Linked DNA regions of Macaca fascicularis. The protein of the gene in region 1 binds, or shares a complex with, the protein of each later gene. Links are inferred from orthologs where the notes say so. Each region holds a gene or a part of one and is shown in the gene's direction. Other genes may lie near its edges. The genes, in order: EIF4A1, KANK1 and PDCD4.

The links.
Region 2: the proteins of EIF4A1 (region 1) and KANK1 are in contact, whole or in part, in a crystal structure (PDB 7DDX), measured with the Mus musculus proteins. The link is inferred for Macaca fascicularis from reciprocal best matches to the Homo sapiens genes EIF4A1 and KANK1. Residues at the interface, in NP_659207.1 of Mus musculus: Lys99, Val140, Arg141, Val144, Gln145, Lys146, Leu147, Gln148, Met149, Glu150, Ala151, Arg168, Arg169, Tyr170, Ser172; in NP_852069.4 of Mus musculus: Gly1168, Asn1169, Asn1171, His1175, Tyr1176, Val1178, Asn1201, Lys1202, Ala1203, Tyr1205, Met1209, Leu1210, Leu1213, Ala1214, Ala1215, Gln1240, Ala1241, Leu1248, Ser1251, His1252, Arg1254, Asp1273, Glu1274, His1285.
Region 3: the proteins of EIF4A1 (region 1) and PDCD4 are in contact, whole or in part, in a crystal structure (PDB 2ZU6), measured with the Homo sapiens proteins. The link is inferred for Macaca fascicularis from reciprocal best matches to the Homo sapiens genes EIF4A1 and PDCD4. Residues at the interface, in NP_001407.1 of Homo sapiens: Gln75, Thr109, Arg110, Glu111, Ile135, Gly137, Val140, Thr158, Gly160, Arg161, Asp164, Glu186, Leu188, Ser189, Arg190, Gly191, Phe192, Gln195, Ala214, Thr215, Met216, Pro217, Glu240, Leu241, Thr242, Asn280, Thr281, Arg282, Arg283, Thr329; in NP_055271.2 of Homo sapiens: Pro170, Gln173, Glu174, Glu177, His178, Glu183, Glu186, Met187, Asp190, Leu209, Glu210, Lys212, Glu249, Leu250, Leu252, Asp253, Thr254, Pro255, Arg256, Gly320, Gln321, Gln322, Ser323, Val324, Leu327, Glu348, Lys352, Glu355, Val356, Pro357.

The regions. Positions count from the first base shown.
Region 1 is NC_088390.1:7,624,593-7,626,934, forward strand, and holds part of EIF4A1 (eukaryotic initiation factor 4A-I), read left to right. Parts: intron 1-1,526; coding exon 1,527-1,695; intron 1,696-1,811; exon of another isoform or gene 1,812-1,954; intron 1,955-2,057; coding exon 2,058-2,167; intron 2,168-2,342. UniProt on the Homo sapiens protein: ATP-dependent RNA helicase which is a subunit of the eIF4F complex involved in cap recognition and is required for mRNA binding to ribosome.
Region 2 is NC_088389.1:98,618,753-98,623,008, reverse strand, and holds the start of KANK1 (KN motif and ankyrin repeat domain-containing protein 1), read left to right. Parts: upstream 1-1,309; 5' UTR 1,310-1,607; intron 1,608-4,256.
Region 3 is NC_088383.1:119,976,260-119,979,908, forward strand, and holds part of PDCD4 (programmed cell death protein 4), read left to right. Parts: intron 1-1,473; coding exon 1,474-1,571; intron 1,572-2,489; coding exon 2,490-2,604; intron 2,605-3,649. UniProt on the Homo sapiens protein: Inhibits translation initiation and cap-dependent translation. May excert its function by hindering the interaction between EIF4A1 and EIF4G. Inhibits the helicase activity of EIF4A. Modulates the activation of JUN kinase.

The DNA.
Region 1 (2,342 bases):
TGGCGCTATCTCAGCTTACTGCAAGCTCCGCCTCCCGGGTTTACTCCATTCTCCTGCCCTCAGCCTCCCAAGTAGCTGGGACTACAGGCGTCTGCCACCACGCCCAGCTAATTTTTTTGTATCTTTTAGTAGAGATGGGGTTTCACCATGTTAGCCAGGATGGTCTCGGTCTCCCAACCTCATGATCCACCCGCCTCAGCCTCCCAAAGTGCTGGGATTACAGGTGTGAGCCACCACGCCCAGCCGGACAGTCCTTTTTTCACCTTGGCTTAATGCCTAGAGCTGTTTCATGCCGGGGGCACACACAATTCTAATGCTGGACTTTTTCTGGGTCATGCTGCGACACTCATCTCAACTAGAGTATTGAGGCTCAGCATGTTTTTTAAATGTTCTGTGGCAGGTGCAATGATTATTCTGGGTGTGGATAATGTAAGAAGTTACAGCAGAGCTCCATTCTAAGGCACTTGGCTCTCAGTTTTCTCAGAGTGAACATGGCTCGTAGCTTTTGGTCCTCTGGTAGGAGTACAATAGGACATGGATATGCATCACCTGTTCTATAAAACTGGTTGCTGGCCGGGCGCGGTGGCTCACTTGTGTAATCCCAACACTTTGGGAGGCTGAGGCAGGCAGACCACTTGAGATCAGGAGTTGGAGACCAGCCTGGCCAACATAGTGAAACCCCATCTCTACTAGAAATATAAAAACTAGTTGGGCGTAGTGGCATGTGCCTGTTATCCCAGCTACTTGGGGGAGGCTCAGGCAGGAGAATTTAACCCAGGAGGCGGAGGCTGCAGTGAGCCGAGATTGTGCCATTGCACTCCAGCCTGGGCGATGAGCAAAGCTCTGTTTCAAAAAAAACAAAACAAAACTGGTTGCTGCATGACGAGGCAGTTGGTCAAATTAGCTTTCAGAAAGTTACGGGTTCTAAACATCTAGAGTAAGAAACTGAATTAATTATCTGAGCGGCCTTACTGTGAATCACTGTACACTCAGGAACCAGACTGAGTTGAAATCCTGTCTTTGCCACCTATTGACAGCACGATCTTAAGTGGATTTTAGCCTCTGCCTGTTTCTCAGCTGAATGTGAGTGTAATAATAGTGCATGCCCCAAAGTTGTTGGTTAGGAATAAATACATGAAAAACATTTAAGAATGGTGCCGGCCGGGCGCGGTGGCTCACGCCTGTAATCCCTGCACTTTGGGAGGCCGAGGCGGACGGATCACGAGGTCAGGAGATCGAGACCATCCTGGCTAACACGGTGAAACCCCGTCTCTACTAAAATACAAAAAATTAGCCGGGCGTGGTGGCGGGCGCCTGTAGTCCCAGCTACTCGGGAGGCTGAGGCAGGAGAATGGCGCGAACCTGGGAGGCGGAGCTTGCAGTGAGCCGAGATGGTGCCACTGCACTCCAGCCTGGGCGACAGAGTGAAGACTCCGCCTCAAAAAAAAAAAAAAAAAAAAAAAAAAGGAATGGTGCCTGGCACAGCTGTAGCTAATATGTGAGCACCTATCTTTCTCTGTGCTCAGATACAGAAGGTGGTCATGGCACTAGGAGACTACATGGGTGCCTCCTGTCATGCCTGTATTGGGGGCACCAACGTGCGTGCTGAGGTGCAGAAACTGCAGATGGAAGCCCCCCACATAATCGTGGGGACCCCTGGCCGAGTGTTTGATATGCTTAACCGGAGATACCTGTGTGAGTAATTCTGTTCTCCAACCCCTGGGTCACTTCGCTCTTGTGCATGCTTTCCAGTCTTTCAGTGTAAGCCAAAGTCATTCCCACAGATGCTGGTTTCCCTCTGGGGAAGAGCTGCTCTGTGATGGAGCCCATGCGTGTCATCTGAGCCTCTGGCTTCCCTGCCAGTGCAGCCCAGGCAGTGTCCTACTTCCCAGGGCTGTTTTCTGGCTTGGCGGGAACGTCCTGGGCAAAGGATCAGTCTTTGTACTCTGAGAGCAGACTACTCGGCCCCTCTCTGTTTTTTATCAACAAAGTTGGATACATCTCTCCTACATTTCCCTGATTATATGCTATATATTGGCTTTTTTTTCCTTCTCTAGCTCCCAAATACATCAAGATGTTTGTACTGGACGAAGCTGACGAAATGTTAAGCCGTGGATTCAAGGACCAGATCTATGACATATTCCAAAAGCTCAACAGCAACACCCAGGTGAGGGCGGCCTTGCTTGAATCGTTAATGATTCTGGAAGAAAAATATTAAGTGCCAGGGGAACCAAACTCTGGATTCTTGTCCTGAGCCTTTTTATGCATCCACTTCAGTTTTAGGTGTGGCTAGGGAAGGGAGCAGACCTTGGGAAGGATCCACTGCTCTAAGGCTGGCCTTT
Region 2 (4,256 bases), on another chromosome or scaffold:
TGATATCTCATCCCTTATCACCATGGAAACAATTCTCCTTTTCATAGAATAGTAGACATTTGGGGCGGAGTGGTGGTGGTGGGGGGGGGGGATTTTAGAAAATATCTACTGCATCCAATGCCCTATTCTACAGATGAAAAAGGCCCAGGAGGAGGAAAGAGTTTGTTTACTGCCACCCAGTGAGCTGGCAAAGGGGCTGAGATTCAAAATGAGGTTTCCTGCCTTCACATCTCTTCCAGCTGCCCTTTACCTATTCCCTAAACAGTCAGGAGCCATCAAGTTCAGGAATTTGCAGGTGTGCTTCGCTGTGAACTGTGGGGAAGCAGCGTCTTCTCCCCAGAGGCAAGCATGTTGCCTTGTAAAGTTTGATGGCTCTTCACTTGCACACTTGCAAAAAAGACTAAGCGTGTGCAACGCCCTGCTGGATGTGTGCGGTGCTAGAGAGCTTGGGGGTGAGGGGAGGACTCTCCCCCTTAAGAAAATCAGTTGATTGAAGAGCTGACATTGTTTTTTAAGCAATACCTGGTTTTTATAAAGTCGTTCCTTCTGTTCCCAAGCTCTTCTGTTTATTCTAGCTACCTTCAATTTGAAAGACTAAAGTTACAACTTCTCAATCCCTACTAATTTCTCTTGTACCTACTGGATTGCTCCAAATCGCGTATTTAGGACTGAACTAGGAAGCCAGTTCAATCCTGAGTCCCCGAGGCAGGCATTGGGTCTTCTATGGAGCCCCTAGACACCTGGAACCTTCTGAACACGCATCCTCCCCTTTCCACTGAGGACTCTGTCCTGCCGCCGAGCCAGGACGAATGCACGGAGGTCACAAGGGAGGTGCCCTTGTAGGCGGGAGGTTTCTGGCCGCTGATGAGGCACCTGTGGGAAACAGCGCTGCACGCTCCCGTCCCTCTCTCATCCGCGGTCAGCAAACTTCTTAGCAGCGTGGAGGGAGGGGCGGTACAAACGCGCTGGGGTGGACGTTGCAAGGCCATCCTCGTTGCCAGGACCCCCCGCCCGCCCCAGTCGGAGATGGGAGGACCGCACCGTCTCACGGTGGGGTGGATTTCTTTTCCCCTTGCGTGTGTGTGTGCGAGGATGGAGGTGGTAAACACAGGTTGGTAGAAGGAGCAAGCCGGGGTGGAGGAAGCTCTTCTGCTTAATTCTTGCCGCGGCAAGGCCCGCGGGCCAGGCGAGGCGGCGAAGGTGCACGAAGGTGCCTCGTGGGCCTGGTGTAGTTGCAGCGGCGCGCAGGCGCAGAGATCCGCCCGCTGCCGGCTCCGCGGTACAAAGAGCGCGCGGCGGAGAGCCGGGCGTCCTCGGGACTGAGGGAGCAGTCAGGGCTTCACCAGCCGCGCCGTTCTCACGCGCCGCTTCGGAGTGCAGCCGCAGCCACAGCTGTCTCCCACCCCGGGTGAAAGGCTTGCTGGTCTGCCCCAGCTTCCCCGCCCAGGCGGCGGCCGCAGAGCCCGAAGGCTCCTGTGCGATTCAGGGTTTAATTCTGGCGCTTGCCAGCCGGGGCCGACTCCGCCCCCTGCGCCCCGCCCCTCCCCGAGCTCCGGGTCCGCGGCGGAGCGAGCGAACGGCTGGCAGGTTGGGAAGAGCGGCTGAAGGTGAGTGACGTGGGAGGGTTGCGCTGCGCCCCTTTTCGCTGAGGGTTTGCCCCGGAGCGCCAGGCCCCTACCGCTGCCTCAGGCTGGCCCCCGCGCCGAGCCAACTTGGCGCGCGCTGGGGTCGCAAGGTGGCCGTGGGGGTGGCGGAGGGCAGCCCCGCGGGCTCCCGCTCGCCCGGGTGAACCCGGCGGCCTCGGGGCGGTCCTAGGGAGGGGTCCGAGAGGTGGTGTCGGCCCCGCGGCCGTCGGAGTTTGGCGCGCTGTGCAGCGGCGGAGCTCGGCCGGTCTGGAAGACGGAGAGGCGCGCTGGGCACAGAGCAGCGAGAAAGTTCGTACTGGGCCGGCCGGCGGGAAGGTGCGGGCGCCTGCCCGACCCCGGCCCGGAGCTCTGGCCTTTGGATGCCTCTAGGCCGTTCCCCAGCCCAGGGTGGAATGGGGGACCCTCTCTGAAGCGGCTCTCCGTGAAGTTCGGTGCTGTGCTCTGCAGGAGGGAGTGGCGGTCAAGACCCCTTTATCCTCGGCCCCAGAGGGGCAGGTGGCTTCAGGTCGCCCTCCGCCAACTCCGAGATGGCTCCGGCCAGGGTTGGAGGGCGGGGAGGTGGGGGAGGGGTGTGTGTGGGCGCTGCGGCGCTGAGGGCCTCTGGGGGCAGCCCAGCCGGGCGCGGACAGCGTGGGTTTCGGAGGACCAGCTGTTCCAGGTCGAAGGACGGTGCAGGGGCCCTTAAGCGGGCTTGCCCCTGAATGTCCCGTTTTCCATGCCGCTTTGGCGAACACGCAGTGGCACTCGCAGCAGCCACTGCCCCTTGACCATTCGTCTTCTTCACCTGGGTCCCATGGAACTTTCAGAGGCAACTGTTCTTGGTGACTCTTGCAGGTCAGCACGAGCCGTGCTGCACGAGCATGACCTAGTGAAGGCCTTGGCCGTGTTAGCGTTAACAACAATTTATGGCGTCCCCCAGCGCTCGCTTTCTGCACATGGCCTCTACGGAGGGTCAGCCCATCTTATTAAATAATGGATTCTATTAGACCCTGATACCCGAGACTAATAAAGAAGCTTAATCATCCAGATCTATAATCGTGCAATTCCTTTCCTCACCTTCATTGCCCCCCACCTCTGGAGTTGAATGGAAATTAGGGTCTGTTTGCTTATTTTGGATTCCTGAGTTTATTCAAGTTCATTTTTAGGTGGTGTAACAGCTAACTAGCTATTCATCTGCCAGTTTCTCTTTTCATCAAACTTTCTCTACTAAAGTGTTGAGAAGTGCCACGTTTTATTTAAAAAGTTGAAGTGTAATAAACATAAAAATTTACTCTTCTAAAGTGTAAAATTCAGTGGTTTTTAATATATCCATAAAGTTATGAAATCATCACTACTATCTAGTTCTGTTTTGTTGCCCCCAAAAAGAAACCCTATACCGATTAGCAGTCATTCTTATATCTCCCAGCCCTTCTCCCTCATTTTAAGGCAGGTACTTAGGAAGTTTTTCCAAGATAGAGGTTGAGTGAGAAAACGAGAGGTTATTACCTTCGGTCCTTTTTCTGTTACTAGGTTTGGGGAAAGGTGCTGCTGAAGCAATGGAAGAAAAATTAAGTATTGACTGTCCTATGGGGAGGTTAAAATGAATAAGGATGGAAGAGAAGCTTCCAGTAGAGGAATAATTGCCTCCTTTAGAGATACACAAATTGGGAATACATTTTATCCCCTTAGGGCACAGGGATGCTCTCTGGACTCTAGACTTGCCTAGTCCATAAATCACTCTAGTCGAGGTTCTATCTCAGCAAAAGTGAGTTCTGGGTGTGTGTTTGTGTGCGCTCTCGGCAGGGAATGTTAGAAGGAAAAAAGACTGTAGGCTTAAAAATAATTTTTTTAAATATCCAAACTGGCCCCAAGGAAAGAAACCAAAAAACCACAGGCAAATGGCTACTGGAATTGATACATTGAAGACTAGTTTCATTTCATGAGTATCGGTGTCTGTTCATAAATAGTTCTGAGTTAGTGTGTGCATACATTAACTTTTTAGCCCAGGTGGGAGGAGGAGGATGGAAAAGGATCTAGTTGGGGGCAGTGCAAGGAACTGGGGAGAGGGATGGGAGAATGGCCTAAAGGGGCAGTGCTTGTGGGAGCTGAGGACTGTTAAGATGGAGTAACTGTAGGGTGAGCAGATTCTGAAGCAGCAGAGTGGGTCTGAAAAATTGGACCCTTCGGCCGGGCGCGGTGGCTCAAGCCTGTAATCCCAGCACTTTGGGAGGCCGAGACGGGCGGATCACTAGGTCAGGAGATCGAGACCATCCTGGCGAACACGGTGAAACCCCGTCTCTACTAAAAAATACAAAAAACTAGCCGGGCGAGGCGGCGGGCGCCTGTAGTCCCAGCTACTCGGGAGGCTGAGGCAGGAGAATGGCGTAAACCCGGGGGGCGGAGCTTGCAGTGAGCTGAGATCCGGCCACTGCACTCCAGCCCGGGCGACAGAGCCAGACTCCGTCTCAAAAAAAAAATAAATAAAAAATAAAAATAAAAATAAAAAATAACCGGGTGTGGTGGCACATACATCTGTAGTCCCAACTACTTGGAAGGCTGAGGCGGGAGGATCACTTGAACCCAGGAGTTTGAGGTTGCAGTGAACTGTGATCATGCCACTGCACTCCAGCC
Region 3 (3,649 bases), on another chromosome or scaffold:
TAGAATATAGGCATGTCAGTTCCTAAATGCTGTTTCTGTTATACTTATGACAGACAGTAGTCTGTATGAGATATTGAGTGGTGATTCTAATGCAGACATTTTTTCCTTTTATACCAATACACGTACTGTAACAAAATGATTATATAAGTTTATATTTATTGTAGAATTTTTGAAAAATAAAAGCCGGAAAGAAGAAAGGCCAGCAAAAACTGCTACTGGTGTTAAGTTTTCCATTCTCCTTTCTGTGGGTATATATCAGTGTATGACTTCTATAAATCCTTAATTTTTTTAAATTAAAAAAATGGAATCATACCATGTATGCTATTTTGTAAACTTGATTTTTCTCATACCATGAAATATGGTAAATATCTTTCCCTGTGGCCACATAATATACCATTTTACATATATACCATTGAACCATAGCTTTATTTTTGGACACTAATTTCCATTTTTTATAATAAGTAATGCTGTGAACATACTTCCAGCTATTTCTATACAACTTTTCTTTCTCCACAAGATAAATTCCTTTGATTAGTTTTTGAGAGAACCTAGTCTTTTTTTTTTTTTTTTTTTTTTTTTTGAGACAGAGTCTTGCTCTGTCGCCCAGGCTGGGGTGCAGTGGCCGGATCTCAGCTCACTGCAAGCTCTGCCTCCTGGGTTTAGGCCATTCTCCTGCCTCAGCCTCCCGAGTAGCTGGGACTACAGGCGCCCACCACCTTGCCCGGCTAGTTTTTTGTATTTTTTAGTAGAGACGGGGTTTCACCGTGTTAGCCAGGATGGTCTCGATCTCCTGGCCTCGTGATCCGCCCGTCTCGGCCTCCCCAAGTGCTGGGATTACAGGCTTGAGCCACCGCGCCCGGCCTCCTCTTTTTTTTTTTTTAAGAAGACTTCACTTGACCTTAAATCATTCATTTAACCCCAGCACTTTGCGAGGCTGAGGCAGGCAAATCACGAGGTCAGGAGTTTGAGACCAGCCTGGCCAAGATGGTGACACCCCGTCTCTACTAGAAATGTGAAAATTAGCCAGGCATGGTGGCGTGCGCCTGTAGTCCCAGCCACTTGGGAGGCTGAGGCCGAAGAATTACTTGAACCCGGGAGGTGGAGGTTGCAGTGAGCTGAGATCACGCCACTGCACTCCAGCCTGGGTGACAGAGCGAGACTCTGTCTCAAAAAAAAAAAAAAAAAAATCATGTACTATGTATTCAGGCAGTGTGCAAGGTGGTAGGAATTCATTAGTGAGCACAACAGAGGTGGCCCCCACTCTGGCACTTAACTTGAAGGTTAAGATGTGGGAGTGTATGCCAGGCATAACAGGTACTACATAGGCTTTTTTTTTAAAAAAACTTCCAGCATCTTTCAGGTACTGACTGTGTACTTCAGCCAATCATCATCATTTATGTATTTAGAAATTGTGTCCTATAAAAGTTATTTAAGATTTTTTTATATAGCTCTTTTTTTTTTTCCTTATTACAGTTGGTGGGCCAGTTTATTGCTAGAGCTGTTGGAGATGGAATTTTATGTAATACCTATATTGATAGTTACAAAGGAACTGTAGATTGTGTGCAGGCTAGGTAAGTAAATCACTTTTCCTGCTTAGAATTTCAAAATAGGGGAAAATTCTACAGGATCATATTGAAATGACACTTGGCATTAATCAAACACTCTGTACATCTGTTTGTCACTTCTCTATATTCTCCACTGTTAAAATGGAGAGAATGTTGACGTGACATACCAGGAAGAGGACAGTACTATAATGCAAAAGTTCTGGAGTTTAGCTAAATCATTAATTACCTTCATGTCAAGCCACTCTTCTTTGGGCCTCAGTTTCTTTATGAAACAAAGCCATTGGACAGATCTTTTAAGTTCTGTTTTCAGGTTCTAGCATTCTGTAGTAGTTTAATATTCTAATAAGATGGATAACATTAACAAGAGAGGCCTCATTTATAGTTTTATTTTGTATTTATCTACTGTAGGAATTTTAGTCAGAAAATGTCTTTTTCACTCTTGTGATTTAGTATAATTAATATGATATTTGGAATAACTAAATGTGATATTTGGGAGTTATGCTATATGATTTTTCTTGACTTCTTGGAGACTTGGACTCAGCCATGTCTTAGTTTTCCTTAGGTCTGTATATTAATTTTCTAGGGCTACTTCACATCATAGTGAAATGGTCTTCCTGGGTAGGAAGACATGGATCTAGGTGAAAGTTAATTATATATGAAGTGCTTCTTCTCAGTGTAGATCAGTTATTTTGTAATGTGTTTTGATTTTTCTTGAAGGAGAAATGAAATAAAGCATGAGAATATTAACATGAGGATCAACTTTTTTTGCTCCTTTTTGTTTTGAAAAAGTGTTTTGAATTTTATTTTGCTTTTATGTTTTGTGAAAGATTTAGGGCATATAGGATTTTGTAAGCTTTATCCATAATTTGGTAAACTTTAGGTATGTCCAGCTACCAAACTTAAATTTTTTTTCTTTCTCTGTAGAGCTGCTCTGGATAAGGCTACTGTGCTTCTGAGCATGTCTAAAGGTGGAAAGCGTAAAGATAGTGTGTGGGGCTCTGGAGGTGGGCAGCAATCTGTCAATCACCTTGTTAAAGAGGTAATGATTGGGTATTGTCTTTAACTTAATTTACATGTATTCCTCTGAGTGAAATAAATTGTGGCTACTAGCTGTTATTTTTATGGACAAAAATTAAGTTCGGTCTTACAGCTGTAATTGGAAAATGAAATAATTCTTTTATATTTGACTTTATGAGCTTTTATTATAAATTATATGATAAAAAATGAGTCTGTTAAAAGGGCTTTCATGAATAATTATAAGCAAGCCATCTATGAACTTCAAAGGAATGCCTGAAATCTTTCTCTCATATTATTATTTAATAATTTTCAAATGCTGTTGAAATGAGATTTTCTGTCTTTTAGCTATTCAATAAATATGCTTTTATATAAGTAAATTAAAACTAGATAGTCTTAAATAATGAGTTAGGAATTATGAGCACTAGAGTAGATCAGAGTGTTAGATTTTTGTGAGGACGTTCACTACCCATATGCGTGTTTTAAAAGAAAATTGATAGTAATCCCAGTACTTTGAGAGGCTGAGGCAGGTGGATTGCTTGAGGCCAGGAGTTCGAGACCAGCCTTGTCAACATGGTGAAACCCCATTTCTACTAAAAGTACATAATAATTAGTCAGGCATGGTGGTGCGCACCTGTAATCCCAGCTACTCAGGAGGCCGAGGCACCAGTATTGCTTGAACCCAGGAGGCGGAGGTTGCAGTGAGCCAAGATCACGCCACTGTACTCCAGCATGGGTGACAGAACAAGATTGTGTCTCAGAAAAAAAAAAAAAAAAGCGATTTATTGCATTAAAATGCCAGATTTATTTCCTGTGGATTTTTTTTTTTCTGGCTGTATTGTGGTATTCTGTAACAAGAAACCAAAAAACAAAAAAAACTCCTTATCTGCAGATCTCTTTAAGAAAAGGCATGCAACTAGAAGATTTGTAGTTCATGTGCTTCTGATTTTTGAGTATAATCTTTTCATGTAACTGTAATTTTGATTTTTAGTAAATCTTTTAATGAGGGGTGTGTGTGTGTATGTGTATCTAGCTTAAGTGTTAAGGAGTTCAAAATGTAGTTAGAGCCC